Linked DNA regions of Caenorhabditis elegans. The protein of the gene in region 2 purifies or fractionates together with the protein of the main gene of each other region. This does not show direct contact. Each region holds a gene or a part of one and is shown on either strand. Other genes may lie near its edges.

The links.
Region 1: the proteins of gtap-1 (region 2) and F01D5.6 fractionate together in Caenorhabditis elegans (co-fractionation; one large-scale study listed by BioGRID). This does not show direct contact.
Region 3: the proteins of gtap-1 (region 2) and twk-36 fractionate together in Caenorhabditis elegans (co-fractionation; one large-scale study listed by BioGRID). This does not show direct contact.

Annotation. Positions count from the first base shown.
Region 1 is NC_003280.10:14,004,821-14,009,094, forward strand, and holds F01D5.6 (TPM domain-containing protein), read left to right. Parts: upstream 1-1,689; 5' UTR 1,690-1,690; coding exon 1,691-1,966; intron 1,967-2,297; coding exon 2,298-2,399; intron 2,400-2,460; coding exon 2,461-2,711; intron 2,712-2,909; exon of another isoform or gene 2,910-3,015; intron 3,016-3,017; coding exon 3,018-3,159; intron 3,160-3,213; coding exon 3,214-3,301; intron 3,302-3,351; coding exon 3,352-3,451; intron 3,452-3,521; coding exon 3,522-3,651; 3' UTR 3,652-3,768; downstream 3,769-4,274. Other genes in the region: F01D5.7 (Serine aminopeptidase S33 domain-containing protein), read left to right, coding at 3,846-3,863, 4,206-4,274.
Region 2 is NC_003280.10:5,828,172-5,834,877, forward strand, and holds gtap-1 (Dynein heavy chain 7, axonemal), read right to left. Parts: upstream 5,066-6,706; 5' UTR 5,062-5,065; coding exon 5,005-5,061; intron 4,960-5,004; coding exon 4,840-4,959; intron 4,794-4,839; coding exon 4,690-4,793; intron 4,641-4,689; coding exon 4,568-4,640; intron 4,516-4,567; coding exon 4,381-4,515; intron 4,336-4,380; coding exon 3,860-4,335; intron 3,852-3,859; exon of another isoform or gene 3,761-3,851; coding exon of another isoform or gene 2,912-3,760; intron 2,855-2,911; coding exon of another isoform or gene 2,714-2,854; exon of another isoform or gene 2,347-2,713; coding exon 2,016-2,346; intron 1,932-2,015; coding exon 1,761-1,931; intron 1,717-1,760; coding exon 1,596-1,716; intron 1,547-1,595; coding exon 1,374-1,546; intron 1,328-1,373; coding exon 1,143-1,327; intron 786-1,142; coding exon 620-785; 3' UTR 511-619; downstream 1-510. Other genes in the region: ZK1248.11 (E3 SUMO-protein ligase NSE2), read right to left, coding at 1-122, 170-415; col-74 (Nematode cuticle collagen N-terminal domain-containing protein), read left to right, coding at 2,714-2,854, 2,912-3,760; Transmembrane GTPase fzo-1, read right to left, coding at 5,369-5,450, 5,499-5,633, 5,680-6,150, 6,196-6,307, 6,357-6,706.
Region 3 is NC_003283.11:17,743,037-17,748,782, reverse strand, and holds twk-36 (Potassium channel domain-containing protein), read left to right. Parts: upstream 1-1,723; 5' UTR 1,724-1,728; coding exon 1,729-1,835; intron 1,836-2,030; coding exon 2,031-2,374; intron 2,375-2,874; coding exon 2,875-3,140; intron 3,141-3,182; coding exon 3,183-3,324; intron 3,325-3,376; coding exon 3,377-3,610; intron 3,611-3,896; coding exon 3,897-4,051; intron 4,052-4,096; coding exon 4,097-4,357; intron 4,358-4,952; coding exon 4,953-5,132; downstream 5,133-5,746. Other genes in the region: R12G8.1 (Phorbol-ester/DAG-type domain-containing protein), read left to right, coding at 383-702.

The DNA.
Region 1 (4,274 bases), 8.2 Mb from region 2:
ATAATATATATCTGGGGGTGGAAGTGATCATTTGTTGAAAATCGAACGTCGGGTGAAGAAGAGATAGGTTCACACACACACACCCAGGAGGCAACAACGAGGCGAACGATAAAGCCACCGGAGACGCAGACGGTCTTCGGATCTGGTTCGGCGTGTTGAGAGGGGGCATCAGCCGGTTCCTCTGAGGAGGGGGAAGAGGGGAGACGAAGAAGAAGATACCCCCGTCCGGTGAAGCTTATTATCCGACAGGCAGACGATTGTTGCTTTGACTTCTTCTTCATTGCCCACTTTTGAACACTTTTCAACAGGTCTCTCAAGATTTTTGGCAACTTTTTTTGCGACTTTATAGGGAGATTATCGGCTGGAGATTATGCAACATTCATAACTTTTAGTAGATCAATGATTATTGTGTAGAATTGGCTTCTTTTTCCTTGCTTAAAAAAAAATTAAAAATCCCCGAACAATTTCCAGCATTTTTTCATTTGAAAACTTCTTTCTAGACCTTACTGTTCCTGAGATACAAGCCTTTTTAGTCCAATGGGCTAGAGAGTGTGGAGAGGAGAGAGACGCAGGGCGCCTCGTCGTCGGCGTCTCCCCTCCCTTCACACTCTCTAGCTTTGCTCTCGCTAAACTGTGTGTAACTTTTTAACTGTAAAAGATACAAAAAAGTGGCAAGAGGCAAAAATGATCAGCATAAAATTTTCTATAAGCTGAAATCAAAATCTTTGGAAAATTCCAAAAAAAAAACTACTACAGCTGTCAGTTTTCAGCCTTAATTTATTACAGTGTACCTACTACAACTACATTTCCCTTGAATTTCCTCCAAAACTTTACAAAACGTTACAAAACCAAGCGAGTTTGTTTCTTAAGCATTTGCATAAGTGGTTTACAGTCCTCAGAAACATAGACACTTTGTTTATTCTCCCCTCCCCCCCCCCCATTCAAAATGAAAGCTTCTAGAATTTTCTCGTAGTTTACTTGGTAATGTATGCATGTGTAAACTGTAACTGTATATAATTGTATATATATAGAGACGTCTGAAACTCACAAAAACCACTTGAATAGCATTCTTGTGTGACTTGTGGCTTTTGGTGAATCTCGGCGAGAGTCACACACTTTTTATTCATTCACTATTTCCGTAAGGCTGACATGCCTAAGTGCCTGCCTACCGCCTATTTTTTGATATTTTCTCCGTATAAATTATTTTTAATTGTATTGAATTTCAAAATCAACAATTTCAAGCATTTTAAGATTTTCAAAACTGTCGAAGTCTAACTTTTCGAAAATTTCCAAAATATTGGAAAAAAATTATTTTTGGCAATAGGTAGTTTGTAGTTTGTAGTTTGTAGCTTGTAGTTTGTAGTCCGTAGTTTTAGCAGGTAGTTTGAAAGTATGCAGCTTTTTTTTGTTTAAAGTTTTGTATTCGTATACTTAAATACTTGTTAGAAATGTTCAATAGAAATTGTTCAAAAATATACATAGTTTGTGGTCATTGTAGTTTGTAGTTTGTAGTTTGAAGTTTTAATTTTTATTTACCTGTTTTCGGTCAAATATTCTTTTAACAATTTCCAGTTTTCTCAGTTTTCTAAAGAAACTGTTATAAAAAATCCTAAGCCGCTCTTCAAAATTTTTGTTTTTTTTTGCCGTTTTTGTGGAATCATACCTCTAAAATTTCAAATTTCATTACAGAATGCATCCCAAACTGGACCCTATCCTAATTCTCTTCCCATTCTTCTTCATCTCCTCCATAGTCGCACAATTCACATCGCAAACCTACCCAGATCCTCGATTAGATCCATTTTCATGTCGGTTGGCACTTCCATCGCAAGTCTGTGATCCGTCGGCTATCGTTTCCGATGAGGAGAGAAGTCGATTGGTGCAGAGGGTTAATCAATTGCATTCGTTGACTTCTGGAATTAAGAATACTTCTCCGTCATGTGCATTGATGCCTGATAGGAATTTGGAGGTGAGTTACTGAGTTGGACAATGTTGAAGTTGGTAGAAATGCGCCAGAAAGTCAACAGTTTCCGAAAATTTTTAATCCGGTTTAAGCCTAGACCTAGGCTTAGGCTTAGGCTTAGGCTTAACCGTAGACTTAGGTTTAGGCTCCGGCTTAGGTTCAGGCTTAGCCTTAGGCCTAGGCTTAGGCTTAGGCTTAGGCCGGGCAGAGCAGAAAAAGATTTAAAAAACGAAAAATGAAACAGTCCAAAGCCTGGCCAAATTTTTTTTTCGAACTTGCGTCAGAAAGATTCCAACCTTTGGCAGAAGCTTGCCAAGCTAAATCACTTATTTTTCAGATAATTGTCGCGATAATCGACAAAATCGGAAGTGTACCAGGTGTTCCAGTTGACATTGAAAAATTCGCCAATAACTTGAAAAGAAGATACCAAAACTTCCAGGTATGTCTTCTGAAACTGCTTTTAATTCTTAAATGTTCCTGTATATAATTTCAAATTTCAGGACGTTGGAATGTGCGACACTACAGTGCTCATCGTGAATTCTAGACAAGATCGTCAAGTGTTCACAGTTGCTGGTAGAGATGCCAAGATCTCGAAGGACACGTTGAAATCTGCATTTGAACGGAATATTGGGCATTTCAAGACAGGAAGATATGCACTTGGGCTGGAAGGAATGATTGAGGTCATTGTGGCAGCTTACTCGAATGCTCATATTGTGCAGGTCCCGACTCCAACTGAGTTTAGACCGACTGAGTGAGTTTTGGGGTTTTTTTGATTAGCGGCCCGCCAGGTGTCGGTTGCTATCTTTAGGAACCAGTCGACACATGAAAAACTGAGAAAGCCGCGGACATCTCACGGGCTTGAAAATAGTCTGAAACTGGCTTTTAGTAGACCTTGTAACAAAGGTGCAGCCGACATTCGGCAGGCTACTAAAAACACAGCTGATAGATTATGGGGTGCTCAGATAATTGCTGCAGCCGACAGCTCACGGGAATTAGTCGAAGCTGCAGCCAACACTTTCCTGGTCCTCTTTTTCAAAACTTACGATCAAACTTCCAGATTCATGCCAAACCCACCTGCGGTCTCTGCTGTTGAATCCCAACCATTCCGGGCCGCTGGTCTCCCGAACAGTGTGCAACAGGCAAAACGCCCATTCCCAGCTTTCAACACGATTCATGAGAGCATTGATGAAGATGATAAGGTAAATTTTGACAGAAGATTTCTATTTTTAGCCTAATTTTTTGAATATATTTAGGTCTGGGTATCAATCCTTCAGCAGGCCATGGCCCGATGTGGACAGAACGATGCAGATCTTCCAAAACATGTCAGAGCAGTTGTTGAAGGTTCGTTCAAGCTTTTTTAATAAAATTTTATATTAAAATTTTATATTTAGAAGCCATGAGTATCTCCTTGAAGCTGATTTCCGACTCACGTTACAACAAGATCGAGGAGGAGACCGAGAAGAACAAGGAAGTACTTGGAAACCGACAAAAGTGAGTTTTTTTCCAGACCCGTTAGGTGTCGGCCGCTGAACAGCCTAGCAAAAATACGAATTATTTTCAGAGCCTGGGACGGAGCCACCAACGACTTCATCCGCCCACTCTTCCAGAAGTACCGCAACTCGATCCTTTCCGGAGCATCACAAACCTGCCCGGTTAGCGCCGCGGGCACCAGAAAACGAAGACATTTCTAAATTTTGTATATTTTCTCTAACAATTTTCCACGACGGGTCACACATATCCTCTTAATTCCATTTTCAATTTTTCGATGAAAAAAAATCAATAAAAAATCCACGTCATTCCACGTTTTTGTTGTTATTTACACTTGCTCACAAAACAAAAACAACACTTTTTTCAATCATCGTTTAATTTCGTTTCCCATCTCGTCATGCTACGTCTCGAAGAGGTAAGTTAATTTTCAGTCGGTATTTGTTGGCTGCTTGAGTCATGCTTAGTCCCACGAGTTGTCGGCTGCTATTTTTGGGAAATTCTCAATTTCATAATACAAATCTTTTTTCACATTAAAATTGTTTTTTTTCTTTGCTAAAAATAATTCGGGTCCATAATGTCCCATAAAGTGTCGGCTGCTCGAGTCGGTTGCAAGTTTTAGGCGGTCTCAAGATGATTTCAGTTTAAATTTTAAACTCGCGAGGTGTCGGCTGCCAAACTAATCGGGGCTTTGCCAAAACTTATAGCATCTTCTTTGGAACCCATCAGATGTCTGGTTTTAAAAATCAATAATTTCCAGGACGAACCTTCCCCCGGAATCTGTGACCAGCTCCATGAGATCGTCCGCTCCATTGGCCTTCTATGCTAC
Region 2 (6,706 bases):
TTTTCATCGTTTTTACTTTCATCCCTTATAGATTTGATAATGTCTTTGAAGTACTGTCGCTCGCCTTTCACATTTTTATGGGTTTTTTTCGCCTTCTCGTATAACTCCTCCAATGCTTTTTCCTGCAAAATTATTATTAATATAATTTGTTTAAATATCTGCAACGTACATTCGGAACCTCGTCTGAACCATCTTTCAGGTCATTATGCAACGCTTCAAAAATGTGTTGCATTTGAGCACCTTCAGTCTCCAATTCCATCAACTTCATTGCATCTTTCATCAATGTTTCTTTGAATTCTTCAGAATCTACTTCATTTGAAATAGCATTTTTTGAATTGATATGAAGAACATCCTCAGCAGCCTTTCTCAGACTTTTTCGAATAATTTCCATACTAGTGGCGAGCTGGGTAGACATCTGGAAGGGATTTCACAACTTATTGAACTTCTAAATAACAAAAAAAGATAATTCAAAAATCGTTATATACGAATAACATTAGCCTACAAATGAACATTTAAAATTTAAAATTTTTTATTGAATTAACCCATATTTTCAGAAAGTGATTATGCATGAAAATTTTGAACATAAGGCGATAAAAACCAGGCAGTGAATAAGAAGTGATTAGGTACCCATATTCAATTTTCCTATTCGGACAGAAAGATGGAAAAATATGGAATCTTTGTCGTTTCCCCAAGCTTCGTGTAGAGAAAGCAGCTTTTGTAAAGTAATTCGAACACTTGTTTCACATCGATCCAAATAGTCAAGATCCAACGTGTTGGAGACTGATCTGAAAATAGTAATTTTTCATTTTAAAAAGCTCAATCAAAAAAGCTGCAGTCATGGCTGTAAATGTTTTTTTTTTTGGAAAAAAATACGAAAAATTATGCTTCACAAAACAATTTTGAGTAGAAAAAAATTAAAGTCGAAATTTTAAAAGAAAGTACAATTTTGGTCAACTTGTTTTAGATTTTCAAAATGAAGTTTCAAACTTAATAATTCTTAGTTTTGGTTTTTTGTTGCTTTTTTTGTGTTTTCGGTGGAAAAACTTTTTGATCTGATCTGAAAGTTGAAATTTAAATCCAATGGCATTGAAAGTGCCAAAATATTAATTTAAATGTTTGCATTTAATAATTGTATAACTTACCGTAACCGTATCTCATCTGTCATAGTCATAAACATATCCATATTTTCATGAACCAATCGTCTGATTCCAATGCGTACAACAAGATCTGAGAGCTTCTTGTGACCATCTGTAATCGCATTTTCCACCTGCTTCAAGCTTGTTGCATTCACAATTTGATCACGTGCCGTTCGAAATACATAGCGAACCTGGAAAAGGATATTTGAAAATTATAAAAAAGATATTTAAGAAAACCTTATCAGAGAACAACTCTCTGAAATGTGACACAACTTGTTCGAGTGTGAATACAAAGAAACGAAGTTTTGTTCTAAGTGCTCGATTCATTTTCTCGATTGCATTCGTTTTGTGATGAGCGAGAGAAACATCGATTGTGGATTGTGGACATTTCATTCGAGATAGTAGTTCTTCTGAAACAAAAAATGTAAAATTACATCCTTGACCGGTTGAAAAGCTCACTGTCATTAGCCATCGTAACTAGCAATTCTCTGGTTCGATATGCGCTGTGTGCAAACTTCATACACTGATTCATGACGTCAATAACTTCGGGACGAATGAATGAAGCCAGCATATGCTCGAGCTGAAAAACATTTAATTTTCAAAATTTTATTCCAATGCTAATACCTTGCATGTGAATTCAGATTTTGTTGAAATCCATGAGAATATATTCATATTTTCCTTACTCATCCGACCTCTCGATGCCAACCAAAATGCATCAGCAAAGTTGGTAACATTGGAATCTGATCGGAAGACTGTTGTTGCATATTGCTGTGAAATCGAACCAATGACAACATTCTGAAAGAAAAAGTTTTTGTCAGACACCCATCAATTCTCCGAACTGATAATATTTTTTTTTATCAGTAAATTTAAATCACATGCCTCTAAGTCGACCCACAAGTTGACAAATCGGTTGTTTCTATGTAATTCATTGAGTAGCTCTTGTGCAAACTGATCCTGAAGTAGGAGACATGTATCAAAAAATAGAGATCGGAATTCATCAAATGGTAGAAGATCTTCAGTGAATTTAGCTGCGGCTCGTAATGAATCAAATGCATTCGTGAATGTTTTGACTGGAAATTCAATTAATCCAACACGGATCCGACATTTGACTGCTTCAAGAATGATTTCAATCAGTTCTTCATCCCAAAGTAACGATTGAACTTCTTTGATATCTCGACAAAGTAGAATTTGAGCATCCGGTTTGACGTCACTAAAAATAAAGTTTTAAATTAGTATTTACGGAGTTTTCGTTATAATTTTCAGATTATTTTGATTATTAGTAACATTTCAAACACCATCACTAATCACTTATTCTCCACACCCTGATATCAACCCGTTTATCTCATGGCCATTCTAGCGGAAATAAGTGAAATATGCAAATATCTCTCTAGATATCTCTTCCGAATATGCAATATTTCGCATGGAAATCAAATTAAAAAACGCTGGAGAAATTTGAGAATTGACATGATGGAATTTTTGGAGGAAATTCTGAAAACAGGTTGAATGATGAATGACCATAGCTAGAAAAAAGTATAAAAAGCAATGAGAGAAATCTGATAATTATGTCAAGTCTGAATATGACGTCGACAGCTACTGCATACGCGGCTATTACCGTCGGACTCGTTTCGATCGGATTCATTCTTTTTGCTGTTCAAGGTATCAGCTCCAACATCGAAGATATCCGAAATGAGATGAATATTGAGATGGATGCATGGAAGGTAAGTAAATATAAAGTCCGTTATATGTTATATAGTAATAAAAATGTGAAATTTTAGTTTGAAACTGACAGTCTCTATCGTGATATGCAAAAGTTCGGCCGTGTTAAACGTCAGTATGGAGGATATGGAGCTTCTGGAGCCAACCCAACACCTCACGGTGGATTCCCAGGAGGCGCATCCCCAATGAATCCAGGAAGCTTCCCAGGAGTTGTCGGAGTGCCACCACAATTCAACCCAACACAAGGAGGAGAACCAAATCCAGGAGGATCTTGCAACTGCCAGGCTGACAATTCGTGCCCAGCTGGACCAGCTGGACCAAAGGGAGCTCAAGGATCTGACGGAATCGACGGAATTCCAGGAGTGCCAGGAATCGATGGACAGGATGCTGACGATGCTCAAGCTCAAACTCAACAATATGCAGGATGCTTCACTTGCCCACAGGGACCACAAGGACCACAAGGACCACAAGGAAAGCCAGGAGTTCGTGGAATGCGTGGAGCTCGCGGACAAGGAGCCATGCCAGGACGTGACGGAACTCCAGGACAGCCAGGAAGCCTCGGACCAGTCGGACCAGTCGGACCACAAGGAGAACCAGGATCAGAAGGAGAACCAGGAGCTGATGTCGAACATCAAGTCGGACTTCCAGGACCAAAGGGAATTTCTGGACCAACTGGACAACCAGGAGATCAAGGACCACAAGGAGATACCGGAGCTCAAGGTATTCCAGGAGCACCAGGAGAGCGTGGACCACGTGGAGACAAGGGAGATAATGGAGAGAACGGTTCTGCTGGAGCACCAGGAGAGGAGGGAGAGCCAGGAACTGATGCCGAATATTGTCCATGTCCTCAAAGACAGGAAAGTGCACCAGTCAATGGAAACCAGGGATACAAGAACAGACGTCATTAGATGCGATTATTTATTTTTCTTCTCTTAAATATTTATATAAATTTTTCAAGCAAGAATCTTACGTTTTAAAACTTTAAAAATCATAAAATTGAAACTCACTTGTGCAAAACAAAATAGTCGATAGCTGCAGGAACTCTTCCAATTTCGAAAATATGATCCATAATTGACAACAAAGCGCGAATCCATTTATTTTGTAACAACTTGACAACATCCCTCTTCTTTGCGATGGCATCCATTTGTGTTAACAGGAATACACGATTCCAAGAGTTTTCAATATCTTCCCATAACCAAATATGTCTTCCAACATCATCGCCAATCACTGCTCTCACTATTTCCACCTCTTCCATATTTTTATTTAGTCGAGCCAATGTCTGTAAAGGATCTTCCAGTCGCTCAGCACGAAGTTCGTCGAGATGACAAGCGTGATCTCTAAGAAATTGTTTCACCCAATCACAGAGTACAGTAATCAGTGTCGGAAGCATCAGTTGACTGTGTTCTTCACATCTCTCCACAAATTCACATATTTCGTTAAGCTTCCGATGAGTTCGAGTGAGGTGGTCGGCCAGTGTTCGTAGCTAAAATAACTTAAATAATTGATAGAAGAAATATTAAAAATTTACATAAGATTTTTGAATATTCGCATACGGAGATTCCATTGGAAAATAATAATCCGAGTTCACTTCAAGACCACCAGACGTCAATCTGTATAGAGGCATCGACACACGATCAGTGCATATTCTTCGTTGAGTATTTTTCTGAATTATAACGTTTATTTTTGATAAAAATTATTTTAGTTTTTGAACTAACTTTAACAGGTAAATCAATAAAGTCGATGAGATGAACAGCGAGCCGTTGTTGAGTGAGCAAATAACTGTCTGTTCTCAAAATAAAATGATTAATATTCGTTTTTGAAAATCCGAATTTCTTACCCATTTCTTTGATGTTCCATACTCTTTCTGTACTCTTGACATCGTTTTACATTGCTATCATGAAACTTTTTTATTTGATGATTCTTACGAGATGAGTTGAACTTCTAAAAAAAAACAGTTTATAAAAAGTTTTCGTTCATCTTCAATTACCTGTAGAACAGCTGGAAACGGATCTCTAGGTGTCGTGAGACATACTGCAGAATCAGCACGTGAGATGTCTCCGCTTCCTCCTTCGTCACGATCTTCTAGACAAGAATTGTAGAACATTGTCTGAAATTTGTTCTAACTATTTCTATATTTGGTTCCCTACAGTACCTCCTGCGTGCATTGATCGAATTCCACAGAAATTCCAACATCGTCGTCTTCATTCATACCTGAATTATATTTTCCTATTTTCAAATACCACAACACATAAATAGAAATTCTGATGAATATAAATACAGATAATTGAATATCTTCTCAAAAATCAAACGACAAAAATTTATTCGAATTATTATTCGTCTCATAGAAGTATCATAATCAAAACACTAAAACTACTGAAATTGTCTAGAAATAACGAGAAAACAGCTCATCAAAATATCTACATTGAACCGATTACCAATCGTTCGAATTAAAAGCTATAGGACTGAGTGAATAAGGGGAAAAGCACCAAAATTAGTTAAATTCAGACTAGTCATTTTCATGGCGTTGGCGGAGAGTCCGATCGGAGATAAGAAGATGCAAATTGTTCGAGATTTCGGAGAAGAAACACTGCTTTTCCTCTGAAAATTAATTTTATTAATTCTTGACACAGATCTAAGAGGACATACTTGATTGTTCCCAATGTTCGAATTGTTGAATCAACTGCATCAATTTGTGTCTTCTGTACATCCAAATCGTTTTTCATTTCTCTATGGACTCCACCAACAGTTGCTTTCAATCCGTCAAAGACTTGGTCCATTTCTCTGAAAACAACAAATTGAATTGAAAACTATACGGTTTAAAAAATACCTGATAGCTTGTGTTTCACAGTGATGAGTATGAGCTGTTGAAACTTGTTGCATTCGAGCAGCTAAATGTGATCTGAACTGTTCTTTCAAATGTTGTTCCTTGGCTCCCGAATTCCAGCGCATTCGTTCCCATGCATATAGTCCAGCGTAGGCCGCTCCTCCGACAGCAATTACTCTCCAACCAACAGCCTTATACACAATACCACCAACAACTAGCACTCCAAGACTTCCGTTTGCTAAAAATGCGGCTGATGTCAAAACCATTTGAGTCATCATTGCCTGTTCTTCGGAAGCTGCAGAAGCTTCTGCATCTCTCACTGAATTCTTTTCGGATTGTTGTTTTAGTGATAATGGAGTAAGCAAATTGGTGTTGATTGCAGTGACAGGTTGGCCGCTTCGATACGCAATGATGCGACGAATTATTGCGTGTAGACCAAATGTGAATCGGAACTCGAGGTCTTCATGGAAATCACTGAAAAATGTAAGAATGAAACACAAAAAATCCATCGAAACTCACTTGACAAGAGCAGGGACATCGACACAAATGCTAAATTTGAAAGGAGCACGATATCGCCACACTTCTTCAAGCTTATTCTGATAAGGTTCGGCGAGGATTTTTGTCACATATTCTGGAAAAAAAATTTTTTATAACACATCAGTTCCCAGATAAACACTTACGGAACATATCATTCTCCAAATTCCAAATTCTTGACATTAGGCCACCGGTACATCTAGCTTCCAAATCACTGCTCAAACATTTGTCCACAAAGATTGCCAAATCCTCTTTATACTTTGTCATTCCGGAAGAGCTTCCATCGAAAGGTTGTTCAAATCGATCAATTATTGCATCAAGTCGTGCTATTTCTTCAAAGAAATCAGCAGAAACTTTCAGATGAACTTCGGCTCGCAGTTGCTCTGTCTGCTCACGGTAAGCTTTTTCAAATTGAGTGAAGTTTACACGGCATTCATTGAAAGTCCTGGTGGATTCGTTTAGATTATTCTGAAGCTTGCTTCTCTGCTCAGCTGCA
Region 3 (5,746 bases), on a different chromosome or scaffold from region 2:
ACATATAGAAATTTGAATTCCACGTGTCTGAAATACCCAAAAATATTTTAGAAATTCGAAAAAAAAAATATTTGACCACAGGTCGGACTCGAACCCTGGTCGTAAGATTTGTTGTTCTCGAAAATCCCACTGCGCCATTCGGGCACTTTTTCCTTAAAACCTGTAAAATCGTTTGTTCATTTACAAGCTGGTCTTTATATGTCTAAACACTGCGTACAAAAATATTTGACCACATGGCGGGCTTGAACCCCGGACTTGTGCGCGATAGTTCTGGAAAATCCCACTGAGCCATTGGTGCATTTTCTCAAAAATTAGGCAAAAGCTAGATTTTAAGCACGGAACCTGATTTCTAGTGAATATTAGTTCATATTTCATTTTCCAGGCTGTGAGACAGTCGTTCATAAGCGGTGCCATGCCCTCATCACCGCCCGCTGCACCTTCGGACCATCTTCCCGAGCTCCGGTTCCTGCTGAAACTACAAATCTGAAAACTCGTCGTAGCCGATCTGCTTCGGAAGAACCTCCATCAAATACTCATCACTTTAACAAGCATTTCTTCACTCGCCCGACATTTTGTGATCACTGTGGAAGTATGCTCTATGGGCTCACGAAGCAAGGCGTTCAGTGCACGGATTGTCATGCAAATGTTCATTTTCGATGCCAGGAAAAGGTTTTGAGGAATTGTGGAATTCAGTGTCAATAAATATTGAAAAAATTGAGAAAAAAAATAAAGAAAAATGAAGAAAATTGGAGAAAGTTAAATTTGATAATCAGTCATAAACTCATATTGTTTTCCGGAATAAAGTTATTATAGTTACAATTGAGGCTCATAAACATCATAACAAAAATATTTGTCACTGTGCGGGTTTGAACCACGGACCTCTGATTGGAAGACATTAAAAATCCCACTGCGCCAATCGGACACTTTCCCGAAAGTTCGATTAAAATGACTTTTGCAGCTTGAAATTTGTTAATCACAGCTTGCAAAAAATAAATACCCTTGTGCGGACTCGAACCCCAGCCGTTTGATTGGAAGACGTTGAAAATCCCACTGCGCCAATCGGACACTTTCCCGAAAGTTCGATTAAAATGACTTTTGCAGCTATAAACTTGTTAATCACAGCTTGCAAAAAATAAATACCCCTGTGCGGACTCGAACCACTGACATCTGATTGAAAGACACTAAAAATCCCACTGCGTCATTAGGACATTTTCCTGAAAATTCGCTAAAAATGAATTTCCCAACTCGAACCTCAATTTCTAAAGCTTGCAAAAAATAAATACCCCTGTGTGGACTCGAACCCCGGACCTCTGATTGATAGACATGGAAAATCCCACTGTGCCATTCGGACATTTTCCTAAAAATTCGATAAAAATCACTTTTGCAGCTATAAACTTGTAAATCACAGCTTGCAAAAAATAAATACCCCTGTGCGGACTCGAACCCCGGACGTTTGATTGGAATAAATTCAGAATCCCACTGCTCCATTCGGAAATTTTCTCGAAAATTCGATTAAAACGTTTTCTTTCGTTATTTTAAAGTTTTTTCAGTGTAAAAATAAACTTTTCACACTCAATTATGTCATACATACCATATAAAAGTTAAAATATTCGTTTTCAGTGTAGTTTTAGTCTGAAAACCCCCACCAAATTTGCATTTTAAATCGTCGTCCGTTGACGTCTGTTCTATGTGTTCATTTCATACTTTTTTGTCAATTCCATGTAAAAAATGACCGTAACTTCTGAAAAAGACGGGTTAAAGAGTATTTTGAGTCAGAAGTATACGGTGGAGCGGAAAGATACCGTGCAGCATGTGCTCGAAGGGCCCGGTTTGAGGTTTGTTGGTTTTAATGAAAACATTTAATTAATTTTTGGGAAAATAAGAAAAACCAGGGAAAAGTGTATAAATTTTCAAAAACTTGAATAATTTCAAAAATATTTTCAAAAAAAAATTCCAAAAAAAAAAAATTTCAAAAAATTTTTTTTTTTTAATTCGAAAAATTCCAAAATTGTTTAATTTCCGATTTCCAGCCGCAACCAAAGCAATGCCAGTGTCCTAACCCTCCCAGGATCCCGAAACACCAGCTCCAACCACTTACCGGCTCAACGGAGCACCTCCGTGGATGAAGTGGCTAGGCATCGGGTCACTTATGAGATGGATGCTGGAAAATCTGAAAAATCTGAAAACCAGAATCCAATCTCTCAATATTATCAGAAAAATCATTATACTGTAACAGGAAATCAGGAAACTTACCAAAAACTTCCCAGGAACATTTCGGCGAACAGATTTCAAGTGGATAAAGCTTCAATTAGTCAGAAAAGTGCTCCGCGAGCCAGTGAGCCAATGGAAATGCCAATGTTACCTCAGGAAAGGCGTAAGTCAGTTTCAAAAAAAAACTACAATTTCCTAAAAGCTATCAAGATGTTTATACGACAAATTAAAAGTTTAGCAGAAAATGTTGGCGGAAAATTTAAATTTTTGAGCAAGAAGTTCAAGTTTTATAAAGATGATTCTTTTAAATTTTAAACTTCACTAGATGATTGGGCGGAAAATTCACATTTTTTCGAAAAAATTTGGCGGAACATCGAATTTTTAATAAGAAAACTTCGGCGAGAAATTCAAAATTTCTCAGAGATTTTTTTTTTCAAAAAATGTATTTTACATTCACATTTTCTCAAATAATTCAGCAGGAACGGCAAGACTTTTCAGAATTTTTAAAAAATAATTTCAAGTTTTCCTGAAAAGTTTTGGCGGGAAATTCAAATTTTCTTTAAAATTTTGACGAGAATTTCAAATGTTCCCAGAAAAATTTAAAGAATTTTCAATTTTTTTAAAAACTAGATTTCGCCCTCACCGACTAAAATTTTTTTCCAGAATTCGACAAATCCTTCTACTGGTTCGCAATGCACCGAAAAAAGTTCGGGCTCCGCTACATAGCTTTGCTGGTTTTGGCGTTGATCTACACACTTTTAGGGGCGACGGTGTTTTATCTGATAGAGGGTTCGAATGAGAAATCGAGACTGCATGTTCGGGAGCAAAACCTAGATAAGTTGTTGGATGAGCTAGCAACTGTGCTCTCAGAAGCCGTCAATGACCCGGAGCAAAGTTCTGAGCATCAGAGGATGAAGGAGTTTATAAAAGTATGGTGGTTTTGAGAAAGCTTGCCGGGATTGTCATTTCAGGAATCCTACATTTCCCTGCAAAAACACGAGGAGCAATACAAATGGAGCACATACTATCGTCTAGAGCACCCTGACAATCTCAAATGGACATTTTCAAGCGCATTTTTCTTCAGTATGAATGTTTACACAACTACCGGTTATGGTACCTGATCCAATTTTCTGTAACTTCAGCCCAATTAATTCCAAGGTTCCAGGTTCAATCTCAGCTCAAACCTTCAGCGGTCAGCTTTTCACAATGATCTACGCATTTTGTTTTGTACCGGTGACACTGGTGATCTTAAGGGATCTAGGCCAGATGTTCTTGGTGAATTTCACAAAATTGTACGCGCACGGGTTGACAGCGGTGAGGAGGATTCGTGGAAAGCGAGAAGTCGATGAGGATGAGATTATACAGCTGCCCATCAAGTTTTGTATGACTATTCTGATAGGTTAGCGGAAAGACCTCTGAAGCTTCGAAGATCTTAGAAGTAGCTCCTGTAGCGTCAAAATGCTCAGAGCTAGCATGTACCCGACTTTGTTTAAGATACCTGAGCTTGACTAGGCTATCCATAGTTTGTTAGACATTCTAACCTCGTCGAAACTTCCTAGAGTCAGCCAGGCAAGCCTAGGCTACCTAGGCTCTCTAACTGTCCTTGAAGACGAGTCTTACATGGTTCAGGCCATCATTTAGCCCGCGGTCTCCAACCTTACCCATCCTCGGTTCCAACTTTCCAGCCTACCTCCTCCTCTGCACCACGTTCGTGTACCTCTACGACGCCGTTATGGGCCCGGAATGGGACGACGGCCTACCGTACTTCACCGCATTCTACTTCTCTTTCATCTCTCTCACAACTATTGGTCTAGGCGATGTGATGCCAAATAATGTTCCGGTAAGCTTTTTGTACCTTTTGTGTTGCTTAATTTCAAAATTTCAGTACGCCCCGCCGGTCTCGATGATATTTTTCATCGGCATGGCAGTCACAAAAGTTGTGAATCGAGCAACATTTATTGCAGTGGAAAATGGGGTTTTTGGCCTGATGACCTTGGCGGAAACCAAGATTAGCATGCTCTTGACGGAACGGAAACCTGGTGTAAAAACTGTCAGATCAACATCATCAGGGTCTTCAGCAGAGTCCGTGGATTCAAAAGAGCCACGTGGATTTGATGGGGACTCGGATAGTGGATCGGATGATGGGGTAAGTCAAGCAGAAGATCAGAGAACATATTATTGCATAATTTGGAACTATAGTCACTCTGAAAAGTAAAAGAATCAAGTGAGAAAAAGTGGGTAAAACTGATAACGTTGGAAGCGTTATTTAAAGTCTGAACATGAGCTTGAGAATAAGCCTCAGCTTAAGTTTAGGCCAGAGTCTAAGCCTAAGCTTAAGCCAAAGCCTAAGCATAAGCCTGAGCCTAAGCTTAATTTCTCGAGTTTCTAGTACCTAAGGATAATCGGCCAACAGGAACCCCCTCAAAAATAATAAAAAAACCGGAAAATCCAAAGCCTAAATAGCGTCAGTAGCGAGCCAACGCTCGCCACTGACGCCAAGCCTGAGCCTAAGCCTAAGAGTAAGATTAAGCCTGAGCCTAAGCCTAAGCCTAAGCCTAAGATTAACCAAAGCCTAAGCCTAGACCTAACCCTAAGCCGAAGCCTAAGCCTAAGCCAAAGCCAAAGCCAAAGCCTAGTTCTAAGCCTGAGCCTAAGCCTAAGCCTGAGCATGAGCCTAAGCTTCAGACTAAGCCTAAGCCTGAACCTAAGCCTAAGCATATGCCTAAGCCTCATACTTTCAGGTAATCAACCGCCGCCGAAACGAGATGATGAACACCTTCACCGTCCGATCAATTGCCACATTCATGCGTTCCAACCATGACGTCTATGGTGGAGGATTCGGAAGAGTTCAACTAAGAAGAGGAGACCTTATGAGCTCTAATGCTTTACATACTGTACCTTGGGTCAGACCCTTACCATAATAAATTTTTCAAACCTTTTCTTTTTCGACCATCAAAGATCCAAGATTGTTCTGGCGTCATTCCAGGGAAAAATGAAAATGAAATGAAAAAAGCGAACTGGGAACAAAAATAATATGTCCACTTGTGGAAATTAACTTTCTCTTTAGTGTCCTCAAGTACAAATATACAAATATGTTGCATTTCTGGACAATTACAGACCATCGGCCACGTAATTTAGCCGACGAAAAAAGTGAAATTATTGCATAGGGGGATGAAACCGTAGCGGAAACCAAAAAGGCGGCGCCTGAAGAAGAGAAGCATAATTATAGTGAAACTTAGTGTTAATTGCCTTCTCTACATTGCCTTGTTTCACATCATTTTCTCCTTCCCCTCATCATCATTCATCAGTCATGGGCATCCGTATCACTTTTCCAGATGTTCGTTGATTCTGGTTTTTTATTTATTATGTGAATTTGTTCTGATCTTTTCTTTTTTTGCGGATTTCCTTATCAGAAACTTTTCGGCTTTGAAGATTAGAATATGCTTTTTTATGTTTCAAAATATCATTACTTATATATTTAAAAAAATCATTCGTTTGCCTCCTTTGTAGTTTGTAGCCTATGTAGTCGTTGTAG